Neodiprion lecontei: one gene and its partner. The protein of the gene in region 1 purifies or fractionates together with the protein of each later gene. This does not show direct contact. Links are inferred from orthologs where the notes say so. Each region holds a gene or a part of one and is shown on either strand. Other genes may lie near its edges.

What was found.
Region 2: the proteins of serine/threonine-protein phosphatase 4 catalytic subunit (region 1) and T-complex protein 1 subunit beta purify together in Homo sapiens (affinity purification with mass spectrometry; 4 studies listed by BioGRID and IntAct, with this or other methods). This does not show direct contact. The link is inferred for Neodiprion lecontei from reciprocal best matches to the Homo sapiens genes PPP4C and CCT2.

What each region holds. Positions count from the first base shown.
Region 1 is NC_060261.1:25,917,860-25,925,510, forward strand, and holds serine/threonine-protein phosphatase 4 catalytic subunit, read right to left. Parts: upstream 6,008-7,651; 5' UTR 5,857-6,007; intron 5,250-5,856; 5' UTR 5,224-5,249; coding exon 5,074-5,223; intron 4,228-5,073; coding exon 4,075-4,227; intron 3,876-4,074; coding exon 3,624-3,875; intron 2,875-3,623; coding exon 2,636-2,874; intron 2,206-2,635; coding exon 2,076-2,205; 3' UTR 422-2,075; downstream 1-421. UniProt on the Homo sapiens protein: Protein phosphatase that is involved in many processes such as microtubule organization at centrosomes, maturation of spliceosomal snRNPs, apoptosis, DNA repair, tumor necrosis factor (TNF)-alpha signaling, activation of c-Jun N-terminal kinase MAPK8, regulation of histone acetylation, DNA damage checkpoint signaling, NF-kappa-B activation and cell migration.
Region 2 is NC_060265.1:2,248,852-2,254,180, forward strand, and holds T-complex protein 1 subunit beta, read left to right. Parts: upstream 1-1,504; 5' UTR 1,505-1,657; coding exon 1,658-1,660; intron 1,661-2,067; coding exon 2,068-2,377; intron 2,378-2,492; coding exon 2,493-2,926; intron 2,927-3,125; coding exon 3,126-3,203; intron 3,204-3,358; coding exon 3,359-3,583; intron 3,584-3,681; coding exon 3,682-3,859; intron 3,860-4,039; coding exon 4,040-4,243; intron 4,244-4,323; coding exon 4,324-4,496; 3' UTR 4,497-4,795; downstream 4,796-5,329. UniProt on the Homo sapiens protein: Component of the chaperonin-containing T-complex (TRiC), a molecular chaperone complex that assists the folding of actin, tubulin and other proteins upon ATP hydrolysis.

The DNA.
Region 1 (7,651 bases):
TATAATTGAAAACAACAATTATGATTTTATTTTCACTTTATCTTTGGACAAGTTTTTTTTTATCCCTCGTCCAAATTTTTTCATTCGTATTTGAGAAGAATTTTCTCAAAAGAATAATATTAGATTATAACTTTCACAGAAAAAGACGTACAAATGTCCGTATATTTACATTATTAATAATAGCATTAATAATAATCGTAGGATTATGACCACAACGAAAAGAACCAAGTAATTGTAAAAATTATTCCTTAATTTTATTGTACCACTGTTACGTACAAACTAGTTTAAAATAAGTCTACAATAGTCGGTAAAAAATAGTTACTACCTAGAACGCGATTAGCTCTATTTTACGAATTAAAAAACAGGCTCTAGCAAGCATCAGATAATAATATACCCTTTGACAGTACGTAAAAAGTGATAATTACTTTTACTGTTTATTAAATGAAGTGGTAGGCGTATTATTACAATGACGGATAAGTCAATATTGAAAAGAAATATCAGTTGACATGTGACTGGGGAATTGACATTACAATCAATTTTATCGCTAAGCAGACTTTCAAGTTTGGTTCATTGATCTCATAACGACTGTTATTCGAAAAGTATGTATTTATGTATGTATGTATGTAACGCAATTTTAAAATCACCCATTTGAACAGACCTTCCGGAATATATTGGATTTGTACAAACTTTGTGACCGATTACGTAAATTGGGTGTAATGCGGAGAGTGAAAGTTTAAAATCACATTAACATTCCATTTAAATGCTTCAAATTTAGATACAGCATGATCCTGTCTGATCGAATTCACAATCAATATATTTTCACGTAGATATTCTTAATATAATGCATTTATTATTCAATATCAAGTCCTATAACAATGGACATTGAATCATAGATTTTGGGCCAAAAGCATCCCTCGCTGTAAATTGTAAACTCACAATAACTTCACAAGCACATGTGCTTTTGCAGATGAATGGGCCGTAGAGACTGCATTAAACGTTCGCAGAAGATAAGAAACCATTCAAAAATATCCAACAATGTTATGTGCACCAATTGTGGTAAACGCGTATGAAAGACCATTAATATCTGTGTAATGGAAATCAATGTGAACAAACCGAATAACATAAGCTAAGATATCAACAATTCAAGATAAAGTTTTATACTTAGAACGTTAAAAAACATAAAACTGAGTTTTTTTTAATCCGATTCTAATGTTTATGGCATTATTTGTTCATTATAGAGACTTCTAAATAACCTAGAAAAAATGTTACTTCAAGTAATCCTCAGAGTGAATAAAAGTATTTTTATATAAGTACGATATAACAGATGTTCGTCAACAGTTACATTTGTGTATTGTAAGTGTATACTAGAATGTGAAATTTCTGGAATGTTTTTCACACAATTTGTGGAATTTTGGACAGCTAGTATGATGAGCACAAACACATTAGAATTCGATGAAAAACATCAGAGTAAATTGATTGAAACACTATATTTATGCAACCTTTTCACTTCATCAACCTTATTGACGACTTTAGTGTGTGTGATCCGAATTTGCTAATAATCATTTCTATTACGTAGTAGGGATGTTGTTTTATTTGCGTTTGCTATCATTGGTGCAAACAATATTGCAGATTTTTTGAACGAGTTTTTCTCTTCGACTGACTTTTGACTTAAGCACTAAGGCTCATTGATCCGAAAACAAACGTATAATCGTTTCCTTTCGCAAGATTTAACGACATTTTGGCTACAAAATGGAAAAACCCTTTACGGACAGGACAAATTTGATACAACAAATGCCAAGATTTGTTTAAAACGGTGAAATCCAATGCGGAATAACATGGTGAACTAGAAATCGCAAGATTGGTAAATCTGCTCGGAAATACGTTACTTCATATTGGTTTAATTAAGACTATTTTTCTTCCACTTAGATGCTGTTTACAATTAAACTTTGACCGTGTCATCGTACTAAGCCGATGCATTCAAAATTAGTACAATTTCAGCGAACGTAAAGATACGAACTGACTCCGAGTCGAGGTTTAACTGCAGTGCAGCACGTTGCTTGCCAAATAAGTCAATCTCACAGAAAGTAATCAGCTTGAGGCTTCTTGCTCGGAATTCCTCGACTCTCTTGCGGTGCTGCTTCAAATATGGTAAAATCTCTTTGGAGGTGTTCATTCAGTTCTAATATCGCTGCTACGTTACCACATCTGTATGAAGTAAGAATGCAACATTTAAAATTGATCAGTATTGAAATAAAAAAATTCCATCTGTCTGTCTATTAGAGTATCGGGTCCAGTGTGGTATTACTGTTGCACTTTTGTGTCGATAAAATCTCGACAATCAGGAAAATGATTGAAATGTGTCTTTTGGCATTACGCTACGTTTCAGATATTTTCAAAGTAGTAGACTATGAAGCTGATTGTAAGGTCAAAGGTTTGAAGTGGTAAGGTGATATCAGACAACAAAAATTAAATACCTGTCATCAGAAGCTTCTATGAAATATAAGATTTATCTCTGAGAAAATATTTTTAAAACGCATTCCCAATATTTTGATACTCTTGATTGAATACTGTTGTTAAATTGTATAGAAGGGTATTACAGTGACTCAATGGTTAATTATATAAGAAGAAAAATTACCTGTAGCAATAGTTTGGCGCTGACCAAACCGTAAGGACTGTTTCATTAAAATGCCACTTGTACCCTTCCATGACTAATTGATGGGCTCGACAAATCATGTCTATGTCATTAGCAGAGTTGAACTGTGCAACAACGTCGCTACCAAACAAATATCCAGCGCCTCGAGGAGAAACGCCCCATCCTTGCGTATCCTCAGGATCTGACCAGAGCAAATCACACATTGGACCGTCGTGTGGTACCTGAAATTATTGTGAACGAATTGAATTGAATTCGTGGTGGTGACAAAATCTCAAGGTAGTTGGTCAGCCATAAATGAATACTTTTCATCAATTTTATTGCAAAATAATTGTATTCAGAGTATTTATGCAGATATTATATACATATGGTGAGAAAATCTCTTCAAAAATACAAAAGTAGAAAATACTGACATGATAAACAAAAGCTTAAATATCGATGCGTTGTTTCGAGTTACTTCAAAATCGGTTAAAAACTTAGTAGATTCGCTCGATTTCACTCGATGATGGCTCATTTTATTCAGGAGACTAATTCCTACAAATTAACTAAAACATTTTTTTCACCTGACGCAATCCGTGAATATCTAATTTAACGACATGAGGAAAAAAGAAAATTTATTTCAGTGACTTTGTAGAAAATGGTCTTCCGAATAAAATGAGCTTTTGTGGAATGAAATTGAATGAAGCTACTAGATTTTCAACCATTTTCAAATTAATTGAAATAAACCATCAATATGTAACCTGTACTTTATAGGTGATTGCAGTATTTTCTATTCTCGTTTTTTCAAAGAGCTCTTCTTAGCTCTGAATATAGTAATTTGATAAATGCTCAATAAATAATTATTTTGTAATAAAATTGATGAAAAAGTAGATTTGTGGTTAACCATCTTCCTTAACTTTTATATTTTCTTAATTGTCGAATTTGCATTGACGCTAATTTTTAGATAAAGCATAATCCGTATTAAACAACATACCTCTTGTTTCCTATCTATTGTTCTAATTTGGTCCAGTGTTTGAATACTAGGTGAAAGACCACCGTGAACGCAGAATATCTTTCCATCGATTATCGCCGACAGGGACAGGTAATCAAATATCTCTGTGCAGTATCGCCACACTGTTATGCTTCCATACTTGCGCAAGCATTCGTCATAGAAACCATAAACCTGCGTTATCTGTCTCGATTCATGATTACCACGGATCAGGGTTATTCTGTCGGGATAGCGAACCTGCAAACATTGTTATTCACGATTTGAAAATAAAAAGAGTCATAATTGTGTACACTGGATAACTTTCGTTAAATTTTTAACTCTGATATTTCGCTTAACATATTTATTATATCATTTATTTAATACTTATTTTTAGTAGTTTTTAATGTATAGTGTGTAATCAATATAGCTGAAGTTTCTTGTAAGAATACCATCGTACTTTTAAAGCAAGAAGAAGCAAGAATGTTTCAACACTGTAAAATCCCCTGTCAACAAAATCGCCCATGAAAAGGTAGTTCGTTTCAGGAACATCGCCACCCACTTTGAACAACTCTTTTAGATCATAAAATTGTCCGTGTATATCACCGCAAACCTAAAAAATATAAATTTATGGTTAATCTTGTTGGAATGAATTGCTAACCAATTCAAAAGATTAAAAGAAAAAGTAAAACTTTGTATTCATCAACAAAAAATTTGTTAATTTGTGAATAATCTGCCTGAGACATTTTTTTGAAGCAATTTTTAGACTGGGAAGTAGATCCTGGAGAACGATAGGTTTTTAGGAGTTGGAATTACAGAAAAGTCTAGGATTGACTTTCAATAGGCAAAATCGTTTTGATGTTCTTCAGCCTATTGATAAAAAATTTTGCAAAATGTGGAAAATTTAAATGATAAGAAGAAGGTACATGCCAAATTCTATGAAAATCAGGATTAATATCAATTATAGGAATTACGAACTCTTGCAAAGTGTATGACATGTCCATTTTGTAACTGTAATTCATGAAATATTAGAATTTTCTGGCGATTTTTTCCTTAAAGGTTAACAATTGTATAATGAAAAAAATTAAGTCATCAAACGAACAGCTAATATTGGCTGGGTTTAAGAGAAAACAGTGGATTTTTATATTTACTGCAAGGGAACCCGTGAAATTAGTGTTCTTAACTCCTCAGAAGAGAAAAGAAACGTTGAGTGTTCTGTGTAGAATTTGAGGACCAATATGCAGCCTACAATTGTGTTCTCAATTCTGCCATCAATATTTAGGTGAAATACATTTTGAGAATCGTATGGCTAATAGAATCTTGTTGTAGTAATGTGGTCTTCACTTTAAAAAATAAATTAATGAAATTTCAAACAGATTTCTGATACACTTCACGCATTTATAGTGACTTTGGAATTAATCGAATATTGGCACATTTACGGGTTCAACGACCAACTTACAGTAACGGGTGAGTCGACTCGCTGCACATTACTTTCTTCGATCAGGATTTCCCTAGCTTTAGCACAGAGAGCCTTAACTTCGGCTTCTTTGATAATCTCGCATTTTTTCAGCTGTTCAATTTGCCGATCCAAATCACTGGAATCGGACATTGCTCCGTTAGTTTACTGCTCCTAAACTGTAAACATATAAAAATACAAATAAAATGTTATATAGACATTTTTACTTTGTTGAAATTTCTGGTTTATAAAAGATCAAACTTTGCATACTCTAAAGGCAGCTAATGATGCAATCTAACCTGAAATATTGAACGCGGTGTTCCAAGTTCAGTTAAATTGTTGAATAATCATGACGGGCCAGTTTAGGCAGATATGTTTGGGTTAGGTAAATTGTGAGGCAGATTGAGGTTTTTGGTCGGAAAACGACCTGAGGTAAAGCACTATGATTACATCGAATGCAAAAGCAGGTTAGTCAAGGAAGATATGAACGGACACAAGTCGCGTAAAGATATCGAGCGATTTTTGAAACAGCAATAAGATTAGGTAAATAATGAAATAGAAGGATGTTTCACAGTACGAGTGAAATAGCAGCCAAGATACGGTAAGAGCATTTCGTTAAAAAAAACTGAGTTTCTAAGTGAAAATAGTTTATAAATCTACTAATTACGATGGATATACGAGAACCTGCGTGTTTAGTGTAATATCGGAGCAAAACACGGAGAAATAAAAGCACTAAGTGCCAAGCATGCAGCTCATGGACAGACTGTAAAATACTAATTCCCTTACCGTCTAGATGAGGAACGGATTATTTTTCGACGAGACTCTAATCACTCGAAGAAGCTGGCTTTTCTCACCGTAATCTCCTGCCGGTCTCCATTTATTTCCGACAATGCATTGCGTGGTGCGCGCGTCGTTCGTTGCAGGGAGACTAGAGTAAAGGAGTGGACACAGCGTGCTTCAGAAATGAACACGAAATCCCGGCCTAAAACGGCGGCGCTGCGATCAAAAAGATCGTAGTCATATATATATATATTTAGATCAGACACACTGTTACTACTTATTTTCTAACCTCAATGTGGCAAAATTCGTGCAGTGTTTATGTTTACATGTGTAAAGCTTTTTGTTATTAATGTGCAGTGTTAATTAATTTATTATGTTTATTAAAATGGGTGTATCAAATTTCGTTGAATAAAAATAAGCTGAAACATTAGGAATCTGTAATTTATCATTTTCGCGTAATGAATCGAGAGAAGCTCAGGACAATTTTGTCCCGTTATTTATGAAAAAAAAGTTTTGACAATTCTCGAAATAGTCTCCTTAACTTCTAATATACTATCATTTAGGTGCGTCACTTTTCATTCTACTGCGCAAGCGCGGATCGGTCACTTTCATCGTGTGGGCCACGGTCTTACGTACAGGTCTGGTAACTCCGGCACTTTTGAGTGGTAGGGGGTGTCACCGTTAGTGAGGCACACGGTCTTGTTTTCTATCCATCCGCTAGGGGCGCCATTGGCCCGGGGTATGATAGATATAGATATATACCGATAAGATAACCTGCTCATCGAAGTTTTTGACAGTTCATAACTCAGTGTAAAGTGTGTAAACGGTGGATCATCTACACAAGATCTCAAACTGTCTCAAAAGTTGTGAGCCCTCGCTTGATGTTTATGGATTTTATTGACTTAAACATTTGAGGATTCCGTTAAAATAAAACAATTATCACGCCCGCCATGGAATGCTAGTAAACATCTCAATCATTTTTTATTCGCATCTTTCTTCATTTTTGAGTGTTATTCAGGATTGTTGATTCCGAAAAATCGGCTGTTCGGATCTGATTTATGATTGGCTCACCCCGAGGGGGCAGCGCTGCAGACGGCGAAGACGAGAACCACGGTTTTGCCTCATTATCTGAGTCATAGCTCACCCTACTAGTTTTGCGGACCTGTATGTAAGAGCGTGGTGTGGACTAATTTTATTACTATATTTACGATCTTTTCGACCTATGTGATGCTAATGGCAGAGCGGAGAACTAATTGAAGAACGGGTTTTTGAGGACGCCGTTACTACTTATTCTCCTATGCTGTGTCCATTCCTTCACTCTAGTCTCCCTGGTTCGTTGGTAATGCTGTTGCAACCATGTATGACGTGTTGCCTGTTCAATACGTGTCTCCATATCAGAGTACCGACGGAGTCAGCACACAGTATTTCATTTGACAAGAGAACTGCGACACTATTCTCTTGTGAACACGGTCTTATAGACAGGTCTGGGAACTCCGGCTGTAAAACCGTGCTCGAAAACGAAGCCGATGTTGTGAATTTTCGCCGCTAGCGCTAGTGAGGGAGAGGCCTACTTAGGGCGTGTTCGGAAATTGACTGAAAATACTGTCAGTACTGAAAATGGTATAGTCCAAGTGACGTATACTGTCGATTTTCAATACTGACAGTACTTTTAGTCAATTTCCGAACACGCCCTTAGTCACGGTCTTACATACAGGTCTGGCAACGAAGGTAGTGGGTGTGGTTGATTTCACGGCCGGTTATTTATCTCACTTTGTGGCCGCCAGGTCGGCGTTGTGATCGA
Region 2 (5,329 bases), on another chromosome or scaffold:
CTGGCTCTTGTTACTCTGACTTAAAAACGGGTTTTGTAACTTCGGGTGCTTGGAACAGAGTTGCGGAACCGTTTGAAGAAAATATTTTTCAATTACCTTCCAGCGCAAAACCTGTATTACATACAGTCCAAATGGGAAGTATACAGTTTCTGATCATTCAAAATTCTGCAGATATTAAAAATTATTGAAATTTCAAGCGGCATGTGCCAGACCATCCAAATGCAATCCAACTCGAAAACTGAATAATCTTTCAAACATTCAATCTGTGGTCGTTTGTGTCAATGAAATCTCAGAAACACATTTGAAAATAGGGAAAAATAAATTCAAATAAAAAAATGAATTCATCTATAGGAACGTGATTTAAACCGAAAGTCTGTACTCGACAAACATACACATACGCATATCCTCGACCCGCCTATCGTCTAACTGAAGCTATTGTCGACGCTACCGGAGTTAGGGCGAGCAAGGTGACGAGGGGAGAGAAGTAGACAGCTGCGAGGGACCGTTACGCTGTGAACGCGCAACCTGCGCACCCCGCAGACAACACCAATTTGGGGTGCGAAATACATACATTAGAAGAAGGGGGATGCAGGGACGCGAACGTCCCGAAGCCAACGATAAGGGGAGATAAAATGGAAGTTTGAGTGAAAAAATCCGGACCAATCCAAGCAGGAATTTATTTGCAGTTAATTTAACAAGTGCGTAAGACGGGGTTTTACGGTATGAAGGTAACGTACGTGGTGCAAGCATTCTGTATATACAAAAAACTTGACACTGGTACGGCATTTATACGTATAAACATGCTCAATGCGTTTATAATCATATCAATAGCTATGTTATACTGATGAGTCAGCTGAAACGCGCCGCTCTGGAATTCTAAAACAGTTTTGTGTGGTAACCAAGCCAGCTTCGTATATCCTTTGCATTCTTCTTGCGCATTCCTGCAATATGACTTCGAATGAGTCAAGCACGCGGGCATTAGCCATGAATAGTTCTCGTCGACCTCACCAATACCAGATGTTACTACTGACAGCTACTGAACTCTAACAGAGTCCAGCATTGAATTTCTACGCCTGCAATTACTATTAAAATATCGTCGCATGTATGACCAGTTGCTAACAATTAGGTTCACGAACAAGGTAAATTGCTTGCAACAAGGTCTTCGACATTCGCCTACGATCAGGCGTAACGTCATAAGTTGCCTATGATCAGGAGTAAAATGGAAAACATTGGACGTCCGTAAAGAAAGAAATTCAGGATTTTTTACGTAGGGAAAAAAACCAAAATTGCGGAAGAAACATGTTTTTGAGTCTGTTAAATTGTTCCATTCGCAATTGAAGGCATTATTTTACTCAATTCAGATGTGGGACGACGTCCTACGATGCAGAATGACCATAATTGGTCTTGAAATTGGAAAGATGGAATCAAGTCAATATGAGTGGTGGTATCTAGCGGTCGGAAGAATCACTTGGGGCTCACAGATCTCGCGATTGGTCGCGAGAGCTGCGCGAAGGCAAGGCTTCTAGTTGTTTCTGCACGGTGCGATTCGTCGGCCCTTCGTTGTTCCAAGATCAGCATCATTCAACATCACGGCGCCCGACATCGAAGCGGTGATTTCTGAATTTGGTGTTTAGTACGCGATAACGAACAATTAACGATGGTCAGTACTGCATTTAGCTAACTAATAAACTAGCCTAAGTCTCGTTCGAATCTCGTTCCTCGTTACCCCCGGATATAAAATCCTCAAAATCCAAACCCAACGATGGGCGAAGTCGATCCTCCCACGACTGACTGTCCGGTGTCCGCATCAAAATGATGGCGAATCGCGTGACACGAAATGCACGTGTCTCGAGCATCACAGGATTGATACAGGAATTCGGAGACGTTGTCTTCGACGATATGATCGCGTGGTATTGAGCTGCACCGCGGACTTCATTAGGCACACCCTGAATCTCCGTGTCTCGCCTTTGCTTGTCTACTACGGCAACCTAACCTCTCCTGCACATTATGAATCCGGCGGATGATATTCTTTTTAACAAAAATATGAGTGAGCAAACATTTTTTTAGGTGTCACTTAATCCTGTCAGGATATTAAAGAATGAGGCGGAAGAGGAGAAGGCAGAAATAGCACGGCTGAGTTCTTTTGTTGGAGCCATCGCTATTGGCGAACTGGTCAAATCCACTCTAGGCCCTAAAGGCATGGACAAGATTCTTGTCGCTCATGGACGATCAGCTGGTCAAGTTCAGGTTACCAATGACGGGGCCACTATCCTCAAGAGTGTCGGTGTTGATAACCCTGCAGCAAAAATACTTGTGGACATGAGCCGAGTGCAGGATGACGAAGTTGGCGACGGCACAACTTCTGTAACAGTATTGGGTTTGTTATTCATTTATTTGTCTATTGAGTTCAATCAATTGTTTTGAAGACAGCATTAATAGTTTGCAATCCATCACAAATTAAATTGTTTTTTTGTTTTTCTGAAACCTAACAGCGGCTGAATTGCTAAAGGAAGCAGAAAAGTTGATAGATCAGAAGATTCATCCGCAGACAATAATTGCTGGCTGGCGTAGCGCTACTACGGTTGCCAGGGAGGCACTACATAACACGGCGACAGATAATTCAGCGGATCCTGAGACTTTCCGCAAAGATCTTATGAACATTGCACGAACAACGCTTAGTTCAAAGATTCTGTCTCAGCATAAAGAACACTTTAGCAAGCTGGCTGTTGATGCTGTACTGCGTCTCAAAGGCTCAGGCAACTTATCTGCTATACAAATAATAAAAAAACGGGGTGCCACTCTGGCTGATTCATTCCTTGATGAAGGTTTCCTTCTCGATAAAAAACCTGGAGTTCATCAGCCCCAGCGTATCACCGATGCTCGTATTCTGATTGCCAATACCCCCATGGATACTGATAAAATCAAGGTATAAATTAAAATAAAACAATTTTAATTGACTGGGCATTCTTCGAAACTTCTGTTCCAGTTCTATATAAATTGAATATCTTGAATGTAGTAGCTATGCTTGTCACAGCATTTTTTATTGAAATAACACGATACACTGTACTGATACGTGTGATTTCGTGTTTATTTGCATTTTTATTAATTTATTAATTATCTTTCAGGTCTTCGGTTCAAGGGTACGTGTCGATTCGATGGCAAAGATTGCAGAGCTAGAGACTGCAGAAAAGGAGAAGATGAAGGTATTGAAATAACGTCAACATTCGCATTTTCACGTATAAGTTTACTTAATTATTCGCAAAAATATGAGGCTTACGTGTAATGGCCAGAACTAGACGATTCCGTACCAACTAATCAACTTTATATCCTCTGAAATGATGAATTGCTTCCCAACCAGGATAAAGTTGACAAAATAGTGAAGCATGGCTGCAATGTCTTCATAAACAGGCAGTTGATCTACAACTATCCAGAACAGTTATTCGCTGACGCTGGTTTGATGGCCATTGAGCATGCAGATTTTGATGGTATCGAAAGACTCGCCCTTGTAACTGGAGGAGATATAGTCAGTACCTTCGATCATCCCGAACTGGTCAAACTTGGCAAATGTGATTTAATAGAGCAGGTGTGTCTCTAGATCTTGGATACTATAAGTATGCCTTGCAACCTATTTAATTCAGAAAATTGTATCAACAATTCTGATCATCGTTTGAATCACTACAGGTTATGATTGGAGAAGACTCTCTTCTTCGTTTTTCGGGTGTAGCTCTCGGTGAAGCTTGCACCGTTGTCATCAGAGGCGCTACTCAACAAATCCTAGATGAAGCTGAGCGTTCATTACACGACGCTCTCTGCGTACTGGCAGCTACAGTACGCGAGTCGCGTATCGTATTTGGAGGAGGTAAAAAATTTCTCATGTTTTACCAAAACGCCGGTGCAAAAATAATTTGGTTGCTGCGTTGAATACTCGGATTTTATTCAAAATGTTACGCAAACAAATGGGAGTGCGCGCTCCACAATTTAGTAAGAGCACACAACAGTTTTTTCCTTGTAATCCTAAGCCTTATAAAAATCCTAACAGGTTGCAGCGAAATGGCTATGGCTTGTGCAGTGATGAAAGCTGCCACTGCTACCCCTGGAAAAGAGGCTGTTGCCATGGAAGCGTACGCTAGAGCTCTTCAGCAGTTACCTATAGTAATTGCAGACAACGCGGGTTACGACTCAGCTCAGCTAATCAGCGAGCTCAGAGCCGCGCATAATTCGGGAGCCTCAACAATGGGACTTGGTTAGTATTGAATTTCAAGGCCGAATCCTCAGAATCGATATTCACAGGATAACTATAATGTTTCGTATTTCCTACTACAGATATGGAGGAGGGTAAAATCGGCTGCATGAAAAAACTCGGAATCACAGAGTCGTGGGCTGTGAAGCGACAAGTCGTCCTGAGTGCGTCTGAAGCCGCCGAAATGATACTCCGAGTTGACAACATTCTTAAGGCAGCACCGCGAAAACGCGTCCAGGACCGTGGTCACTGTTAAACGGGGCGCGCTTTCCGTTTCAATTCTTTGTAATTTCATTAATTGTCCATTAAATTGAACTGCGCTTCTCCGCATCATAGGTGACGACTAAAACGCGTAACACGCTTATTTAACCGAACACAACTACACGCATTTGTAAACCGGCGACGTGAATCGTCGCCGATTATTATCATTATAATTTTACTTATTAACGAAACACTTCTATGTTCGATATATCGAACATAACAATAAATTCGTTTTCATGTATGTATATGTATAGCGAAATATGTATACGTACATGTATATCGTTTTGTACCTAATATTTTCTTATTCAACAAATCCATATTCATACAAACCTAGAAAATTACAATTGGGAAAGTTGATTCGAAACCCGAAACTCGCAATGAAACATTTGCTACTCAAGTGGGCACAATTACCTAAAAGGGTGAAAAATTGTACCAAATTTCATGTGTGACATGATTAAAATTAATTTACGGTTTTACCATTATACTGATCCGTAGGTTTCGAAAAATGATTACATAATCATTATTCACATATGAACAGTAGTGCTCAAAATACGTTGGATTAGAGTTGATCAGACTGCAGAATAATAAAAATTGAGCGGTCTCTTGGAAAACGAAGAATCCCGGGCTCACAGAGTCGAAGTTCGACAAGTCGTTTGCTGATATAATCGCCGAGTCGATGGACTGTTGGCGCGCTGCGATCGGAGATGAGGAAACTGTCGAGCAACAGTAAAGAGACGGTGGATAACATTGGCAGCGAAGGTGCCAAAGATAGAATCACGGTAGAATATAAATCATCGCTGGCGTTCGCGTACGCACGATACACGAGCG